Linked DNA regions of Nothobranchius furzeri. The protein of the gene in region 2 binds, or shares a complex with, the protein of the main gene of each other region. Links are inferred from orthologs where the notes say so. Each region holds a gene or a part of one and is shown on either strand. Other genes may lie near its edges.

Region 1 (10,097 bases), on a different chromosome or scaffold from region 2:
TCTGGGAGCAAAAACAGACAAGTTATCCTGCTGCACCACACTCACATTTAACTTAAAGAGCAACTTGCAGGTTAGAGACTCCCATGAACCAATGTTTAAAGAAACATAATAGAAACTCATTTTAAACATTTATTTACACATACATAAATAATTTAGGCTTTTAGAGTAATTTTTGTGAGATTTTTATTTTTTTTTTGCCAAACCAAGTGATGTCAGCTGAGGGAGATTTGTTAGCTTCATCCAGAGAAAAATATGGATTCTAATGCCGGTTCTGACACAGAGGAAACTATAAATGTTTATAATCATACTTCTGATGGACCAAAACCATAAGGTTATGAGTTTGCTGCATGCCCCAGAGAGCAGAGACAAACCAGAGGGAGAACCAATCAGCCAAAGCAGAGAGATTGAGCAGCGATGTGACAACAGCGGGGGAGCAGCTTAACGATGCTAGCTTAAACTCGTGTGCTAATTTCACAACATTGTACAGATAACTATAATGTACCAGACAATTAAAATAGTAGCTGGATCTGACCCAGACACCAGCGAGCCAGTCGAGCTGGTATTTTTAAAAGCTGCACATGATCCTTTCCTGTGGCGGCAGTTCTGATGTGGTTCCGACCCAGAAACCAGCTGGCCCGCTGAGCCGCGCGTCTCTTCTGGTGGTCAGTTCTAACCTGGTTCTGACGGTGATCCAACCTCCAGATATCCACATTTAATTTTTTAAACCCTGCCAAGGGTCTCTAGAGCCCAGTGCGGACCTCCCGGTACCGAACGATGTGGGCTACAGAAGTCTGTCTTTTCAGCTGCACAAAACACCCTCAGGCATGGAGATAGAGGCATTGTTTCTCTTGTCTGGAAACCCGTGGACTTGATGTCCAGACAGGCTGGAGTTGGTACAGCCTTCACAAACTATAGTTTATCAAAATGAACACAATCCAGATCTAGCAAACACACACACTGGCTGGATAACATGACCTCTCTACCCAGAAACTACCCACTCTCACACAGAGCTGAGGCAGCACCGAGCCTCTAACTCCTTTGGTTACGTCAGAGGTTCAGATTTAGAAAAAAGAGCTTTTTTTAGAAGCTTTGCTGAGAAAGGCCACTTTTTACTAGAAAACTGCTGTTATGTATTTTAAAATGAAATATCCACAATAAGCATTTCAAATAGTGTTTTTGGACAGCATTTTATATGAATTAAAAAATAAATTAACCTGCAATTTACTCTTTAAGAAAATTGGATGTCAAAATCACCTGAAAATCTGAAGATGTTGACAATCCGTTTAATCTAGGAGTAGTGCAAAGTTTCTCAATTCCTAGATCTAAGATGAATTAATAAAACTCTTAATCTGAAACTAGTTGGGGGGAAAGGAGATCTCCTAACCAGATGATCAGCAAAGATATCTTCACAATTATGTCCTGTTAATGATGAAAGATCTTTGAATAAATGTGAGGGGAAAGTTAGATTTTTGGTGTTTTTACGGCACCTCTGATCCTCCGCTTCTCTGAGGCGTCTCTCTCATCTTCCTTCTCTGTGGCATCCTCCACTTTTTCTTCTTCCTCCCCAGTTTTGGGTCGATCCAACTCCTCACAGATCAGACTTAAAAAATCAAATAAAATCAGTTTCTGTGGGTTGCAGCCTGGTCACAAAACAGCACAGAGACGACTGACCTGATGGTGGGAACAGCGAAAGGATCAAAGCTGTCCAACTCCCTCAAGTCGATGGGAACTGAGACACGTCCTATTCAGGAGCAGAGCTGGTTTTACTAACAGCTGGTAGAGAAAACAGGTCACTGTGTGTTTTCAGACCCAACTCACCTGTTTTGGGATGAACACTAAAGGGGCTCTTCAGTAAGTGGCTCACACCTTTACTGACGTTCACATCAAGCCGAGGGTAGCAGTACTGCAGCATGATCTCTTTGTCAAAGTGTTGGCCCTTTTTAGCTGTAGACTAGGAGGAGCAAGACTGTTAAATTAATACTAAGCAGTTTTGCTGGCTTTCACCACCATCTGGTGTTCTGTCAGTCAAAGCAAAATCACCTTTGTCTTTTTAACATCTTAATCTAACCGCTGAAAGGTCTCCTTCCTTAGTTTCTACAGGAGAAATTCATGCCTAAATCAAACAAATCAGCTGTGTTAGCGATCTAAAACATGCAGGAAATGTGCTGCTTTGAGACTAACCAGGACCAGACTGGCCGGCAACTCTGAAATAGCAAGGGGTCTGAGTGATTTTTCACCAACTCTGTAAAGCAGTTGTATTCAATTCCGTGCCTCGAGGGCCGGTATCAGCACATTTTAGTTTTAACTCTTCTTCAACACGTGATTTCAATCGCCAGGTAATTAACAGGTTTCTGCAGAGCCTGATGAGCTGAACTAAATGTGTTGGAGCAGAGAAACCACTAAAACGTGCCGGATACCGGCCCTCGAGGCACGGAATTGAATAGTCCAGCTGTAAAGGGTCATTTTAGCACATACCCACTCAAGAAAATTATTTAAAAAATGAAAAAGTTGCAAAGTATCCCTTTAATGCTCACTAATCGGTAAAATTATGAATATTACTTTTTAAATTTCATATGGTTTACAAAACTAGTTCCCATAAAATACACTTTCAAAAATTCAATGAAAACTACATTTAATTTATCAAAACTTTGACTTCAGACATATTTAAACAAATATTTACATTAGGAAGAAAAGGGATTTTGCAGCCTTGCACTTGCTGAATGTAAGGCTGCCAGCAAGCCTGAACCTGCTGACACTGGCACGCTGTGGATGCAGCACAATTTGAGAAGCATTCATCTGAACCGACTACTACAAACAACAGTTGTTGTTTTTTTAAATATAAAAACAAACAAAAAATGATCAGGAACATTATTAAGTTTTTGTTGCATTTCTGAAAGGACTTCCTTTTGTAGGAAACTTCACTAACTGGCATAATGAACTGAACTCAACGGTTAACTTTGTGAAGTGCAATGAGAGGACTCAGCGTGACCTGGTGCTATATAAATACACAGAATTTTATTTACTAGAACAACCACGAAGACCAACCTGTTTCTTTCGGGCTTGGTCTTTGATCAGTTTCCAACGAACATCTGATTTCTTCTCATTCTGGAAGTCCTGCTGTAACTCTTTTTTTACATGTACAGAACAAATTAAGGCCTCATAATTATCACTGCTTTTTAAAAATCATATCAATTCAGCTGGTTTTCATATTCAGGAAATTACTGAGCAAGCACGTTAGAGAAAGGATATCATCAGGAACTAGAGCCAGGACTTTGTCTACAGACTCTTTGCGGGCCAGTATGTCCTGATCCTGCAGCGCGTATTGAGGGAAGAAGTGCTCCACCACTGCCAAAGACTCTCTGGTGGGATTAGACACAGCTGAAGCCACAAACAGAAGCAGCAATGACAAAAACAACAGTCAAACGTATATTTACCTGATAAAGGGGTGAATTGGATCTGTCAGCACTACTTTCTTCACAGTATCTTCACCACCCTAAAAGGTTACATTTAGAAATCACATCTGGACATACAACTGTACTGTATGTTAGTCAGAAACCAATAAATAAGCAGCTTTTAGTTATGGGAGCAGCTGTTAAGTGGCTTTGAATTTGAACTTTAAAGGGGTTCTAGATAAAAGTAATTTTTTTAACGATTGGAAACTATTATTTGAGCCTTAATATATCCCATGAAACTTTGTTGGGGCTCAGGAACCCAGAAAAATTGACCAACGCACCCCAATAGCTTTATTTCTTGAAGCAAGTAAGTCTGTGACCTGTGTGTGAGTGTGTGTGTGTGTGTTACTATCAGTGCAGACAAACGAGTAAAGAAGTGAGTGTTTTCCAAAGAGAGATTCAAATGGGTTGAGGAGCAGGTTTTGCAGATAAACAAGCAGGAGAACAAGGACTGCAAGATGTGGATCGATCTGCCTATCTGTCTGTGTGTGTGTGTGTGTGTGTGTGTGGCTGTACTCTGTTAGACCAGATTGCAGGCTATGGATTAATCTAGCATTCATTCATTCACAATCTGGATACTCCCATTATATCCTGGAATGTGATTGGTGCTCCAACATTCTTCTTTGTTAAACCAAAACAATACGCAAGTGGACCAAACTGAAACGGTTCAACACCGCCCCGTGAACCATCACACCCCTAATCATGACCAATGATTAGGTTGGGACCTGCAGATTTTAGGGTGTGTGTCGTGCTAATGACGTGTTAAACCAGCTTTTCTCCAAACGAACCATTTCTCTGTGGCCGTTACAGCATTATTAATTTACATAGGAAAGCAGGTCAGCAACAGCACAGACATTTTGGTATGCTACACTAGACACCCCCAAGCTGCCTTTATCCAACAACAACAACCAGATAAATGTGGTTTTAAATTCTAGGACTGCTTAAAAGACTTAAATAATCTTGGAGTTTTGCTTTAAAATCACCTAATACCGGTAAAACCATTGCTACCTTGATCAGGCTGAGATATTCAGCCACAGCAGAGCGTGCTGCAGCAGAGAGCTTCCGGGCAGCTTCATCACACACCCAACAATGAACTCCCCTTCTGCCAGAATAAACCCACAGCAGGTGCTGAAAGCCAAAGTCCTCTGGGAGAAACATAAAAAATGTCAATCTGATTTGATTCAAAATAAACACATGCCTGACATAAGACCAGGGACACACCTCTGAGCGCTCTGTCCAAGATGCGGATAGCAATGGTCATCAGCGTCCAGCACTTGGTGCAAATGTCTGCAGCACTGGATCGAAGTTTGAAAAGGTCATTTTGGTAGATTGTCCTCCAGAACACTCTGAACAGGCTCAGAACTAGAAATAATCACCTGCAGCAGCTTCGGACATCATCATAATCTGTCATATCAATATCAAACACAAGTTCCTTCTCTAGAGCTTGGAAGCTGCCGGACTTCACCGTGTTGTGTTGATTAGGCTGTTGATGACAAACAGTGACTTTACTACACTTACACGATAGTAAACATGATTTGATCCAGAATAAAGTCTTACCCTGTGACTGTACACTGCTCCAATATCAATCTTATAAGGGTTCATCTTCTGCATTTCCTTCTCCAGCTCGTTCAGCGTGCTGAAAGACTGGTAGCGCACGTAGATGTCATCTTTGAGCGTGAAGCAGAACTCTCGGTTTTGGAAGTAGTTCTTCTGCACTGAGAATGTGGGAAAATGGACAAATAAACACTGTATGTGTTTATTTCATAAAGGCAATCAAGCAAAATCTGTCTCTTTTCTAATGAGTGACAAACTTTTGTTTAAATATCACATATAAAATAATCGCTGTAAAGTTTCATTACTAATAAAATCAACGTCTTCCAGAAAAATTTTACTTAATCTTATCTGAATTTATCAGTGCAATAAAATACGGTGACGTTTAACTACCCAGGCTTTATTGTTGTTTTTTTCAGGTCTTCATCAACTCTTGAATACTGGGAACAAGCTGCTTTCCTTAAATAAATTAGCAGCTGTCTTACTAAAGTGAATCCTTGTTTAAACGTAACATAAGTCAAACGCTCTGAAAAGCTCTGTAACAGTTGTAAATACATCTCAAATGTTACACAGGGGGAAGCAAACGTAAAATCCACAAACCCTGAAGTTCAGCATAGAAGGCTAGCTAGCCTAATTACATATATAGCTAGTTAAATCACAGAAGACAAGCTAACAGCCCGGTCTGACGCTTGCTCGTGGTTCTGGTCTGTTTGTGAAGTTACCTCCTCCGTAGGTAAGCCAGCGGTAATACTGGTAGAAGGGGAACAGTCGTCGGTAGTACAGCGGTAATAAGTCCGGCAGACAAGCGGAGTCGTAGTCTGAAGATGGCATTATAATGTAGTAAAGCCAAGCTAATGTGCAGCTAGGTATATGTTACTGCTGCTCTTCAGTCAAGCTGACAGCTTGGTTAGCTAAGGACAGCGCGGGAAAACTCGAAAGAAACAGTGATGACAAACAACTGCGACAACTACGTCACAAATAACAGGAAGTACCATGAAAACGTTTTATTTATTTTCCTAAACTAAAATAACATTACAGAGTTCAACTTGAATGGAACTCAAGGTTTTCTGTGAATAAAGTAAGACTATAAAGCGTTAAGTTTTTGGCCCTGGGTTGACTTTGGAATGGAGATGTCCAGTATATTTATGTCGATGGTAGGGTTTGCTTCTTTTGATTCGCCGGGCGGAAGTCAAAACGAGCGGGGAGGAAGTTGTATTTGTGATCAACTGAGAGGGGAAACTTCGCTAATAGAAACAGATGCAATATAAAACAATATTAACATCTCAAATAGCTTGCATGAATGTTTGACCAATGTGGCCTTTTCTATTTTTAACATTCGAGGTATTTATTGCTACTAGACTCCGCCCGCATGGAAGCGCGGCTAAAACCACCAGGAATTAAATGGTGCGAACTATGAAACCGCACCAACCTGTGATTTCAAAATAAACTTTTTGAGTCAAATTTGTGACATACGAAATTATATCTTTAGGATAAATCTGTTTTCATCACTGGTAATGCCATACTTGAATTACTGTGTGGAAGTTTGGGGAAACACATACCTGAGTAATCTACAATCACTATCCATGCTGCAAAAAATGTGTAAAGGTAAATCAAGAGCTACAAAAAACATCTACTGGATCATTATGTTGATGAGCTGGGTTAAATAGAATTATACAAGAAGTTGATTGTTGAGTATGTTTAATCTATTTGTTCTCTGTATTTTTGTTATTTTTATATAGATCCATCCATCCATTTTCTGAACCTGCTTGTCCATGCAGGGTTGCGAATGGGGGGGTGGGGGCTGGTGCCTATCTCCAGCGGTCAACGGGCAATCAGGCGGGGTATATCCTTGACAGAGAGCCAGTCCATCGCAGGGCAACACAGAGACACACAAGACAAACAATCACACACACACACACACACACACACACACACACACACACACACACACACACACACACACACACACACACACACACACACCTAGGGACAATTTAGACAGACCAATCAACCTAACAGTCGTGTTTTTGAACTGTGGGAGGAAGCTGGAGTACCTGAAGAGAACCCATGCATGCACAGGGAGAACATGCCAACTCCATGCAGAAAGTTCCCAGGCCGGGAAGCGAACCCAGGACCTTCTTGCTGCAAGGCAAAAGCTCTAACGACTGTGCCGCTGCGCAGCCTTTTTATATAGATATGTTTCATTCATTTTTCATTTATAGGCACCAGAATGCATTACCTGCACTTCTAATATTTACCTCTCAACGTAGGACTCTTTCATAAGGGTACATGCACACCGGTGGTTTTAACGGTTATTCATGGGGCAAAATCTCCGACATTTTTGAAAAAAAAAAATCCATCTGCCAGTAAAGCAAAGCATCCAACCCACCTCTCCAAATGCGTAAAATGTGCATCACAGCCGCTAGATGCGCCGCACGCACCATCAGGTAGGTCAGCCCAGACAGCAGAGCAAATAGAGAAAGAATAGAGGATAAGTCTGATGTGGATAGAGATTACATTTTACAGCAGCCTGATCATCATTTAAATACCATCACCTGTCTTCTAGTCCATGCTATCAGCGTTATTTAATTGGTGTGTGTGCGTGCGTGTGTGTGTTTTCCACTTCAAACACTGGTCTAACCAACCAGACCAGTGTGTCCAGTAACATATTAATGTTACAATTAAACCGTTACACTTCATGTAGGCTAGGAACATTTCACCTGCCGTGGCCCGACCGCTTCTGCTCCACATAAACTTTGTGCGTGATCAAATGTCTCTACAGGTGCTTTCTGAGCTGAAGAGGCTATTCTGCCTCAGACTGGATGTGTCGTGCATCTCCATATTAGAGACGGGAACAAGCACTATTCAGCCAAAGTTTCATAATCAGTGAACATTTTTCCAAGTGACACATCCCTCAGAGAGACCGGGTTTCCAGACCGTTTCAGTGGGAGGAAATCTTACCGCATCGCTGTGGTTCTGCGCTGCGAACCCCTCTACAGATCTTCAGCTCACTGTCCACCGTGTGCGCTCCGATCCGCGCTGAGCACAGTGTCCAGTATAAAGCTCTGATGTTCTGATGGGAATCTTTTCTTGATGGATTTAGTTACCTCCGCGATGTGTGTAACGATTAAAATGTCAGCTCATCAGTGTGCATCGGGGTAATTCTTTCAAAACAACCAACATCCTTGAGTTTATCTGTCAAAATAAACAGTCAAATGGAAATATCTATAACCCTGCCATTTAACTGTTTTGCCTTCTTGTGAAGATTGTTGCAAAGAGAAACAATTAAACTTGATTAAACCCAGAGCCGTGAGCACTGCGCTGTACTTCCTGACTGTAAATGAGGGGGAAACGATTTAATCGGATCCTTTTCTTATCAACATGGTTTAGTGTAAAGTTTCATTCAGTACAAACTTTAGTTACACCAGTTTAACGAAACAGAGCCTGGATTTGTATTCTGAACAGTTTAAACATGTTTAAAACGGAGACATGCGTGACGCGTCTAAAATTTGCACCTGCTCCGCTATTACGGAAATTAAACTAACAAGATGAATAACATGAACTTATTTTAGGCACAGACAACATCCCCCACACTTTTGAAAATCTTGCAACGCGCCTCGCTGGAACCGGTTCCAATCGATGCTCAATGCTCGATGCCCAACCCTATAATCATGACATTACACTCTGATTGAATTTAGTCTGTGTCAATGTGCTGCACTGCGCCTTTATTCGTTTTTATTAAAATAACAGTACGTATCCAAAACGTTGAACTTAAATTTTATAAACACAAACATTTGACTTAAACATCTTGTTCCTTCAACACATATGATTATTCCAACTTATGAGCTGTAAAGTTATTTATAATTCAGGATGACTTCCTCAGAGTGAAAATGCAGGAGTCTGCATGAGGCCTTGGGTGAGAATGTTTTGTCTTCTTGTACGAAAACAAGAACGGAGCAGAACTTTCTGGATTTGGAGGCCAGACAGATGGTTTTCGTGTCTGCAAATGATGGTTATTTCCTTTTCAATTAGATGGTGAAAAACTCCTCCCACATTTAACATTTAACCCCAGTAAAACAACCACTAGCCTGATGTTCATGTAGTTACTTAAACGTAGATTAACCCAAAACTCCTCAGACTAAACCTGTTTTCACGGGTCAAAAAACAAACTAAAGTGGGTTTATTTTTATTCTTCACCTGGTCCCAACTCTGAATATCAATTCTGATAAAGTAAAGCAAGCTATGAGAAGTAAAGAAAAAGAAAAAATGGTATGAATGAGAAACATGTTCAAGGGGAGTGGGATGAAGCCCTCGCTTATAAATCCCTCTCCTTATTTATTTAATAGTCTCCAGATTAATCAAAATGTGTTCACCAGTGACCCCGGAAGAGGAAGCAAACTTTAAATATCCTGACAAAGCTCTTATTGTGATAATGGAAAAGTGGACACAGATCAAGAATCCACACAACCACCGATAATCATTTTCAGCCTCAGCAGATCCATGCAGAAGTAGAACCCGAGTCAGACCTTCTCTAGCTCTTCCACCAGGGCGCAGCATCTTCACACCCAGCCTCCATAGCGGAGCTTATTAGGGAGGTAGATGTTGGTGAGGAAGTCAGGAGCTATGGAGGCCAGGGACTGGATTTCAGCCTTCACCTGACTCTGCTGCATCAGCTCCATCTACAGAAGCAAAAGAGCAGCTTTAGGGGTGGGTGGGAGTCAAACCCTCGTATCTGCTGTTTAGTCATCTGGTACGTTTATAAACTCCACTAAAGAAGACAGTGTAAACACAATAAAGAACTATGATATAAATATAAGAAAAGAACCTTCCAGAGCTTTTATTCTGAGGTCCCTTCATGTTAGCATTCAAACAAACTGACAGCCGCACATTCTGAGACAAAGGTTTAACCAGCACCTTCATCATTTCTGCCATCTACTCTAGCTAGTCACATGGTGGTTTAGGCTAACTGCACTCGTTTAATAGCAGCAGTCACTATGTGAACGCATCATGGATGTGAAGCACCTTTTGCCTGAGGGCGTTTTGCGCAGCTGAAAAGACTGACTTCTGTAGCCCACATCGGTCGGTACCGGGTAG
Region 2 (10,018 bases):
CCGCTTATCCGCAGTCGGGTCGCGGGGGCAGTAGCCTAAGTCGAGAGGCCCAGACTTCTCTCTCCCCAGCCACTTGGGCCAGCTCCTCCGGGGGAATCCCAAGGTGTTCCCTGGCCAGGTGAGAGACATAGTCCCTCCACCGTGTCCTGGGTCTCCCTTTAGGCTCCTTCCCGGTTGGACGTCCCCAGAAAACCTCACCAGAGGCGTCCAGGAGGCATCCTGACCAGATGCCCGAGCCACCTCAACTGGCTCCTCTCGATGTAAGGGTTAATCCATCAGCAGCGAGGGCTCGCCGAAACCAAATAGTTAGAGACTAGTACATGATTTGCGTCCATGACCGGTTCAAAACGCTAATAGACGTTTTATAAAGTTTCAGTATTTTTGTTCATAGATATTTTATAAAGTGAAACAAATCCTGCCTAATAACATAATAAAATGTCAGAAGAGCATAAAAATCATGTCAATAGAAATAACTGTTGCATAAAAATCATGTCAATAGAAATAACTGTTTATTTAAAAACTATCACATATGAACCACTTTTCCTTTTAAATAAGAACAAAAACAGTAATATTTAAAAATGAAATGAGATTAAGCTTTTAGTTTGAAAAGCTCTAATGTGGCTAAACAGCGCCACCCAGTGGAGAAACAATTAAGTATCCATACACTAATTTTTCTGCTTCATAATTATTACCCATCACATTATTTAAAAATACCTTGAGTGTTTGTTTCCTTTGCCAAATACATTTATGTGTTGATCAAAATTTAATTTAAGCTCCCACAAAACAATTGATCAACATTTGACAATTAATAATTCAATTAAATGAGCAGAAAACCAGGGTTTAATGACTTACTGCGTCATACTGGAGATTATTCTTGTGAAGAAACTCAAGCTTTTGTTTTGAAAGCAGTCCATTAAAGCGATAGCGGAAAAGATCAACCTCCTGCTGAATGAACCATCGCCGCAGATCTTCCCTTTAAAGACAGAGTAAATTTAAAAGTCTGTTTTCTTTTGTTTAATTAGGATTCCTCAACATGATTAAAACCACAAACTTACGTCTGACAATAGGCCAATCTGAGAATGAAGTGGGAGATATGGTCCTTTCTTCGCTTCTCACTCTCACTTGGTCCACCTGGAAGTTTTCTGTCATCCTTAAAGAATAAAAAGATGTTTATAGTAGTGAAAAGTCTCAGAACAGTACTACTAGATCAACATGATTTCTTCTTTTTATGTGGCTGTTGCTTATCTTATAATTTCTCCACATCTTGAGAATCTCAAAAGTATTTTCTAAACCTGAAAAGTTTGTGGATTTTAAAAAAATTAGAGGATTAATCAATCTAAAACAAAACAAATAGCTCAATCTAATTCCTAAAGTGTGTACTGGTTTCAAACTGCCCAGTCATAAATAATAAAGTCACAAAGAAACATAAGAAATTGTATTTATTTCTAATAAATCCTAGCCCAATACAGTCGGTGGGACTTAAAGACCAAGTTCACTTGTTTTTTTTCCCCAACACAGCTGCAGCGGTCTCAAGTAGAAATGAGTGCCTTGTGAGTCGATGTGGTGGTAAAAAAGCTCGGGAGCTCCTGTTTCAGGAAGTAGAAATAAGCCAGAGCAGAGGGGAGCAGAAAATGGCAGGATCAAGAGTTGGACATCCCACCTATGACTGGCTAACAGCAACGCGACTCTTCCACCGACTCACCGTTTGCTTTGCTACTTTGATGTTTTATCTCCACAAATGACACGCTCCGGAAGGAGTTCTGCCATGTTGAGGAGAAGCTAATGTTAACATTTAGACTCTGCTCTCTCCTGGACGCTAAATCAGCCTTCCCTGTCGCGAGTCAAGATGGGTGAGTCCATAAAACCTAATTTGACAGCGTGATGTGCAATTGTCACTGGATTTCCACGTGTATTTTCTATAGGTGGCTAATGCAGGACACTTAGCATGCATGTTAAACTCTGAGTGACCTATCGTACTTCAAAAATAACAAGTAAAAAGTGGTTTCTCGGTTAACTTGGCCTTTAATGTAGCTTACAGGCTTGAATACATGAAGGTGGCAACTGTTGTTAGGTGTACTTTCTGTATTTTAAGTACAACGAGGCCCTAAACTAGTCAGTGTAAACGTTAGAGACAGAAAAGTGATTCTATTGGCTTGACTAAGTCTGCACCTTGAACATAAACGTCTACAAGCTATGTTAGCTTTCTAAGTCCACAGATAAAAATAGAAAATTGCTGTTTTATATTAAAAGGGAAAAAATAAGGATAACTTAGAGACCAAAAACATGAAATAAAGTAGTAACCAGACTAAACAATTTTGAGTTACCAGTTATTGGTTGTGTTTACACAGCATATCCTCATACTCAAGATTAAAACAAACAATAATAGAACTCAAATGTTAAGTATTTGTGGGAACTAGTACATTTTGAACTCTAAATAAAAGCAAGGATTGACACCAGACAATGGAAATATACCATGCCAAACTCCAGTCCTCGAGGGCCACACTACCACGTTTTATTGTGTTCCCTGTTCCAACAAATCTGACTTCACTCAGAAGATGACAACAGACTTCTGGAGAGCTTGGTGAGCTGCTGCATAAGTTAATCAACTGTGATGGAACACGGGAAAAAAACGAAAAGGTTCAGGATGCCGGCCCTCGAGGACTGGAGTTTGACACCCCTGTGCGAATTTAACTCTTAACATCAGAATAGTTTATAATCAAACAGCAGAAGAATACTCACAACTTCAGACCTGTAGGGAAAGTTCAAGGTCTTCAGCTCAGAATCCAGTTTCTTCGAGTACTGCTCTGACTGTTTCACATAACTCACTCCCAGGTTCTCAACCGTCTTCAACACTGCAGTGGCACCAAGAAAAGGCAACATTAGGGACGTGAATCTTAGAGCAACTCACGATTTGATTCGATTCCGATTCTCTGGGTGTCGATTCGATTCAGAATAGATTCTTGATTTAAACTCAATTCACAATCAATTTTAACAAAGAGTGTCAGTTCTAGGATTAACCACTTTGTTGTACAAGTTAGTTAAAGCTATGGGACATTTTTATTTTACTTTAAACTGGTCATGCTCAAAAAATGCAAATTTACAAGGTAAACTAAAGTGATTCTAAAACTGTAAACAGAAGCAATCTTTTGACCAAAAGGCAACATTTATTTTTGCTTATCTTGTATAATATAACAAATCTTTAGTTGCCTAACAGTAGCTTTGAAAGTATTACGGTCAAATACTTTTCAAGTACGTGTGGAAACAAGTTTAACGTTTGAGTCCTCAACCTGTTAAAAATAAGTGCCTCAGATTTATTACAAAGGAAAATGTTTTCTCTCATTTATCAATAACTTCAAATAAACACATGAGTAATCCTGAGTACTCACTCATCAACTTAGAAACTAAATATGAGAATACCTCAAATTAACGAGTATGGAAAAAATTACATTCTAGTCCCCACTTATCAGCAGATTCAAACATAAATCATCTCAATTTATGGGACCACAAAAGTAAACGGAGTACTGACTCTCCTAACAAAGATTAAAAAAAAACAGACAAAAGTGCATCTTAAACCTGTAACGTGCCAAACATTTGAGTTCTTGGAATCGATTCGGAACCTTTGTGAATCGATTCTGAATCTTTATAAATAAGAATCCCGATTCAAACTTGAATCGATTTTTTTCAGCACCTCTAGGCAACATTGTTACCAAGCTCTTAAAATAAAATGCATCTTGATATAATAAAAAGTAAACCTGCAAAAAAAATAGCTAAACAATTTAAATAAATCTAGATTTTGTTCACGAACACTGAATGGTCTTACATTTCAGTCTGTCCACAGCAAAGGTCTCAAATTCAGAGAGAGAGATGTTTTCCAGAGGGGGCTGCCCGTAGAATTGCAGCGGCTGCACGTAGAGCTCAGTCTGGATGCTTGTCCCGAACTTCTTTCTTCTCCCAGAAAACAGCATGGTGCTTGCTGGATTAGGAAAAATAAATACCATAACTATAAAAGTTAACAGATCATGTTTCATTCAGATCAGGTGTAACTGCATGTTCATTGGTTCCGTATATGAACGCAGTAACAACACAGGAGGGAAGCATAGGCAAATAATTGTTTTTTATTCTTGCTAAATTTAACACCAATCCAGGTTATACCTAATCTGTAAAGGAGCTGCTTCATGAAAAATAATAATGTATGTAGAGATTGATTGGGGCACCAAATACAGCTCCCTCGCTGCATTATTACAAGTTTTAGTAGATATTGTAGAAGATTACTGCCCCGTTTTTATTTTTAATAAATTATAAAGAATGAAAACAGAACGCAAGAACTATTTTTAGGGTAAAACTCAGCAGCTCAGAATGACTACGTCATCAACACTCGCCTTTTAACCTGACAGCGGTTTTAAGATGCTAAAAGTATCTACGCAAACACTTAACTAAACTATGACGGCTAATTTAAACAAAGTGTGCACAAACCGCAAAAAACTAGCGGTTTATAGACCAATGAGGAGACACTAAAACTCCTTAGACCAAAACAAACCGACTTTCAAGTGTAGAAACGTCTACGTTGACACGGTGCTCGCTAACACTGAGACAGAAACGAGCTAGCTAAACTTGAGCTATCGGAATAACGTTTAAACTTCATAATCAATGTAACTTTACCGATAAAATATGGAGCTGCTCTTACTGACACAAATCCCGCCAAACAACGAGAGCTTGTTTAACAAACGCGGGTAAAGAATGACGATACGCCCAACACAGGAAGTGGAACGCTTACGTAGAGCGGTGAGCGCTCGTTTAGTTTTTTACGTTGCCCGTCTGTGGCATTTCATCGTGAAATACAAGAAAAAACGAAATGTAATGGGCAATTTCACGTTGAAATGTTAAATCCAAAAGTGTTAGCAAACGTTTTGGCTAAAAAAAAAAGTGATCGTATTTGCACTGATACGTTTTAAGGTATAACTGGGTTACACAGAAACACCTTTAATGCATAACAAACGCACACTTGAAAAATAAATAACAGTAAAAATAAGTTCTGAAGTGCTTTTAGTTAGTTTAAGGACATTCTGATTATTGGACATTTCTGATAGAGATTTTACTTCATAGGTCGTGACTGTAAACACAGATACATATAAACATTTTTCTTTGCTATCTCAAAACTTTCTTTTTAGAACAAATGACAATACGTTTAGAAATTAAATTTTAAAACCCGTAAAACTTCATGTTAGGTTGTATAAAGTCTATGAATAGTATTAACTAGTTCAACATTATTATTATTATTATTATTATTATTATTAGTAGTAGTAGTAGTAGTAGTAGTAGTGGCAGTAGTAGTAGTAGTAGTAGTAGTAGTAGTAGTAGTAGTAGTAGAATTATTGTTGTTGTTCTTGTTATTAACTGTATTATTTCCTGCTATTTCAGCTGATAACTTTATTTTTTCTATAAGTGTTTTCTCCCCAGAAGAAGCTACAATGATGTTCTGCTGAGCTGCATGGTGGGGGCTTGAATAATGTTGCTAACCATTTAAACATTCTCCTTCTCCTGATAATAACATTTTACTTTCTTTGACATTGAATGTGCTACTACTACTTTACCCATTTAATTATAGATCCACTAGGATAAATACAATAAAGTTCATCTTCCACCAAATAGAATATTTACTAAGAAATCACGATGTAACCATAGAAACATTACTTGGTATAAATGTTGTGTGTGTGGATGTGTGTGTGGGTGGGCTGGTGTTGGTGTATGCGTGTGTCTGCTCTGTCTTCTCGACCCCCAGTGAGTCGTGGTGGACGGCTGCTTATACTAAGCCAGAATACTCTGTAGGTTTCTTCCTGTTAAAAGGGATTTTTCCTCTCCACTGTCACTAAATGCTTGCTTAGTATGAGGATTGTTGTAAAGTCACTGACACTAGTCAATGACTTGACGCAATCTGCTGGGTTCCTTAAAAAGGAAAAAAAAATTCCGATTGGTTTAATGAACTGACCTGTATTGGAATGATTACTATGTGAAGTGGCTTGAGATAACTCTTAAGGTATAACTGGGTTACACAGCGCTATATAAATAAACTTGAATTGAAATAGAATTGAAAATAGAATTATTGCTATTATTATTATTGTTGTTGTTATTATTATTATATATGTTTTTGAGACACTTAGCTCTTCTTTACATATTTCTACCAAAATGGAACATCTCTTAACTATACTGATTTAATTCGCCAGACTGTAAAAATATTAATATTAATTTTAATATTTTGTTTTCCTAATGAATACATCTAATGTGAATGACCAAAAATATAATATTCATTGGTGGGATTGTGATTGTAGATATTTTTGTACTTTCAATTCAATGCAATTCAATAATTTTATTTCACTCAAAATTTAAATATACAAACCTCAAATCAGAATACAATTGCCAACCAGAATACAAGCATTCTATTGAATACAATAATTCGAATGAAATAGGGGGAGGACGAAGAAAAAATCTTATATGACCTACCCCCTTTAACTAAGACAAGATAAATTACAAAAAGTACAAAATGGCCTTATGCACAAAAAATAAACCGCTCTCTTTCTTCCACAAATAATATCAATACTAAAACATTAATCCTCCATCCTCAACTCACCAAATCATACGATTTTAGCATTTTATCTTTCTACATTTTTTTAATTGATCAGTAGTTGTACATTTTTTTAATTCATCATCCAGGTTATTCCATAATTTCACACCATATATTGAAATACACATTTGCTTTAATGTAGTACGAACAAATATCCTTTTAAACTCTGGTTTCTTTCTACTCTTATCATTTTTTGGGATCAAAACAAAGAACCTTTGTAGAATAGTTGGCAGTAAATTATTTCTAGCCTTAAACATAATTAGTAAAATTTTCAAGTTAACTAGGTCCTTAAATTTCATAATTTTAGATAGAACTAAATATTTGTTAGTATGTTCTCTCGGATTTGCTTTATATAGAATTCGCAAAACTTTCTTCTGTAACACAAACAAAGGATTAGTGTTTGTTTTATATGTATAATTTGCCCCAAACCTCAATACAGTAAGTTAAATATTGTAAGATAAATGAATAATATAATGTCTGAAGCGTTGAAATTTCTAGAATACTTTCGACTTAGTTTAAAATTCCAATACTTTTAGATATTTTTTGTTTTATATATTTTATATGGGATTTCCAAGTAAGTTTATGGTCCAAGAGAACCCCTAAGAATCTGACTTCATTTACTCTATCAATTAAAAAAAACATCAATAGACAACATAACTAAATCATTTGTTTTTCTGTTACCAAAAACCATGAATTTTGTTTTATTCCAATTGAGAAATAATTTATTGTCATTAAACCACTTCATAAGTTTAGACATCTCACAAACCATATTTTGAATAATAATTTCTAAATCATTTCCAGAACAAAATATATTCGTGTCATCAGCAAACAATATGAACTGTAATACTTTGGACACATCACAAATGTCATTTATGTATAGAATAAAAAGCTTAGGGCCCAACACTGAACCCTGTGGGACACTGTGTGTAATTTCTAGTGAATCTTAAATTTCATCATCTAACTGTACAAATTGATTTCTATTGGTCAAATAACTACTTAACCAGTCATGGGTGATTCCACGTATCCCATAATCCCTCAAGCCTGGCAAGCCAGACTAAATAAATGTATTATTTACAAACTTTGCAAAGCAAGAATTTGGTCTAGTTCACTAGGCTATAATCCCTCAGCTTGGAGAGTAAAATACTATGATCTATTGTGTCGTATGCCTTTTTTAAATCAATAAACAAACCCACTGTATATTGTTTTTTCTATTGCTGATGCAAGTTCTTCATTTAATTCCAATAAAGCCAGGGATGTAGATTTATGTGATCGAAACCCATACTGACTCTCACTAAGGAGGTTTTCTTCTCAATAAAGTTATCTAGTTTCTGGACAAACCATTTCTCAAGCATTTTAGAAAACCGGGAAAGCACTGAGATTGGTCTATAATTATCAAATCTATGTCCATCACCGTTTTTAAATATTGGAATTACTTTTGCAGTTTTCATTTTTTCTGGAAATGTACCGCTCTGAACAGACAAATTACAGATATAAGTGAATGGTTTAACAACATAAACAACAGTTTTCTTTACAATCATCATGTCAATCCCGTCACAGTCTGTGGAAGTTTTATTTTTACTTTTCCCTACTATCGTCAAAACTTCATTTTCACTTACATCCCCTAAAAACATAGACTGTAAAAAGACTTTAACTTGACGAATAACATTGTAAATTTGCTTAAATGGCTATGTAAAATCTGAAAGGGAGGAAATAAATGTGATTTGATTTTATACTACAACGGTCTGCCATACAGTCTTGCCGTGGTTTCGCTGCTTAGCAACAAGCGTTAGCGAGGCGAGCTAGCGGTTTCCCAGTTAGCCAGTCTCCCCCCCAGCGCATAAAGCTGGAGCGTTAGCTTACAGAATGAGGGCAATGCGTTTGTGTACGTATAGTGTTATAGTTTTACACGTTTGAGAAAGTATTCCCCCACTATTTCAAGGGAAAAATTACTTCGTGCCTGGAAGTTAATCAGAGCCTTTCTCAGGGAGAAAAGTGTCTAACCTTAGCACGGTAACCTTAGCACCGTAGTTTGGCGTCTCCACTGGTCACGGAGAGGAGCTGAGGGAGGATGTAGACATGTCCGTGTGGGTTAGCTGGCCGGTTAGCTGATCTAATGTCGAAGGAGAAGTTTTGACAAGATATTGCAGGTAAAACCTAACACAACTTTGTGAATTTGCTGGCGTGACGTTCATTTTAAACCACATATGTTTGCGTCTGTTAGCTGTAAGGACAAACGGCCGACAGCTGCTTTTTACTTTAAGTCCTGTCAGCTGCTATTCAACAGGTCGAATCTTGAGGCGAGGCTGGAAGAATTTTGGGGGAGAACAAAAGCTGCGGAGCAGACCTAAATGCATTTCCTCACATACTGAGGCAATTCAAAAGATTGTTATCTGTGTGCATTATAATGTTTCCAGCTAAGGCCTAAATAAAGGCAAATCTGTAGAAGAGATAGTCTTTTCAGCATCTATAATTTAATCAACTTAGCTGCTTTTTCCTTGTCTCTTAAATCTTATTTGTTCTATATTGGACAGTTAAGAAATAATTACAGAAATCAAATTCTGGTTTTGCTTAAAATGCTTTCTGAGGGAAGTCTAGTCTCGCTTGTGTTGTTAGGATTATGCTTGTTGTTCTTGGAGTAGAAAATGCAGGCAGATTTTAATGAGATGCAACAAATGACTTGTTTAATTTCTCTGTATTTATGTCAGCTGCTTGTCTTTTTTGTGTTTGTGTGAAAAGTTTTCGTGCCAAGGCTTGTAACTTCCTGTGTTTCTTTAATCCTAAAACAATATTTACACAGGTACATGAGACTGCAAGGCTTAGAGGTTGCGTGCAAATCCAAAAGAAAGAGATTCTTCACATGGGTCACTGTTGCACTGAAATCCATAACAGATTTCCTTAAACAAGATGAGCCCAGACTTGTTTATTTTTAGCCAGTTTTTGATGCTACAACAACAGATGAATCATCAGTCTTAAAATTGGCCAGTGCATCTCTAAAGCCACGCATATTGTGATTCAGATTCAGTCAGTCAGGCTGTTGGAGTGCTCAGTCACACATCAGGTTGTCAGAGTCCACTGAGAACGGCTTTGGAACAATATGTTGTTGAGCATTGCACTTAGTCACAGCATGCAAATAGCTGTGGAGGACCTCGTTGCCATGTGGCGGCCAATGGAAGAGTAAACATAAAGCCAGACGGCTGTAAAAATGTACAGCATTTTTATTTTAGCATGCATAAATATTAGTTCAGTAGATAATTGCAGCAGCTCTTTATGGAATAGAAGTGATTTATTCCAAGTGAGTGAATGAGTTATACGGTATAGTTGTTGTTAAGGTGTAGAACACTGAAAAACCTTTCTTCTGATTATAATTGGTTATAACTGCAGTTTTTCATGCAGGCTCAA

Evidence for each region.
Region 1: the proteins of prim2 (region 2) and prim1 are in contact, whole or in part, in a crystal structure (PDB 5EXR), measured with the Homo sapiens proteins. The link is inferred for Nothobranchius furzeri from reciprocal best matches to the Homo sapiens genes PRIM2 and PRIM1. Residues at the interface, in NP_000938.2 of Homo sapiens: Glu165, Ala168, Ser169, Pro171, Ser172, Phe188, Ala189, Leu192, Phe195, Arg196, Gly197, Arg198, Val200, Tyr201, Leu202, Glu203, Asp204, Gly205, Phe206; in NP_000937.1 of Homo sapiens: Lys147, Glu148, Asp149, Phe150, Gly151, Phe152, Ala180, Val181, Gly184, Ile185, Glu187, Tyr188, Ser190, Leu191, Lys193, Lys207, Ile208, His209, Pro210, Ile212, Arg213.

The regions. Positions count from the first base shown.
Region 1 is NC_091755.1:56,469,483-56,479,579, reverse strand, and holds the start of prim1 (DNA primase small subunit), read right to left. Parts: upstream 5,958-10,097; 5' UTR 5,835-5,957; coding exon 5,726-5,834; intron 5,168-5,725; coding exon 5,010-5,167; intron 4,936-5,009; coding exon 4,829-4,935; intron 4,748-4,828; coding exon 4,674-4,747; intron 4,598-4,673; coding exon 4,461-4,597; intron 3,494-4,460; coding exon 3,435-3,493; intron 3,360-3,434; coding exon 3,250-3,359; intron 3,138-3,249; coding exon 3,046-3,137; intron 1,952-3,045; coding exon 1,819-1,951; intron 1,742-1,818; coding exon 1,672-1,741; intron 1,601-1,671; coding exon 1,488-1,600; intron 2-1,487; coding exon 1-1. Other genes in the region: uncharacterized protein, read right to left, coding at 9,563-9,682. UniProt on the Homo sapiens protein: Catalytic subunit of the DNA primase complex and component of the DNA polymerase alpha complex (also known as the alpha DNA polymerase-primase complex - primosome/replisome) which play an essential role in the initiation of DNA synthesis.
Region 2 is NC_091752.1:19,623,343-19,633,360, forward strand, and holds the start of prim2 (DNA primase large subunit), read right to left. Parts: upstream 4,777-10,018; 5' UTR 4,660-4,776; intron 3,974-4,659; 5' UTR 3,966-3,973; coding exon 3,821-3,965; intron 2,853-3,820; coding exon 2,740-2,852; intron 1,151-2,739; coding exon 1,056-1,150; intron 974-1,055; coding exon 853-973; intron 1-852. UniProt on the Homo sapiens protein: Regulatory subunit of the DNA primase complex and component of the DNA polymerase alpha complex (also known as the alpha DNA polymerase-primase complex) which play an essential role in the initiation of DNA synthesis.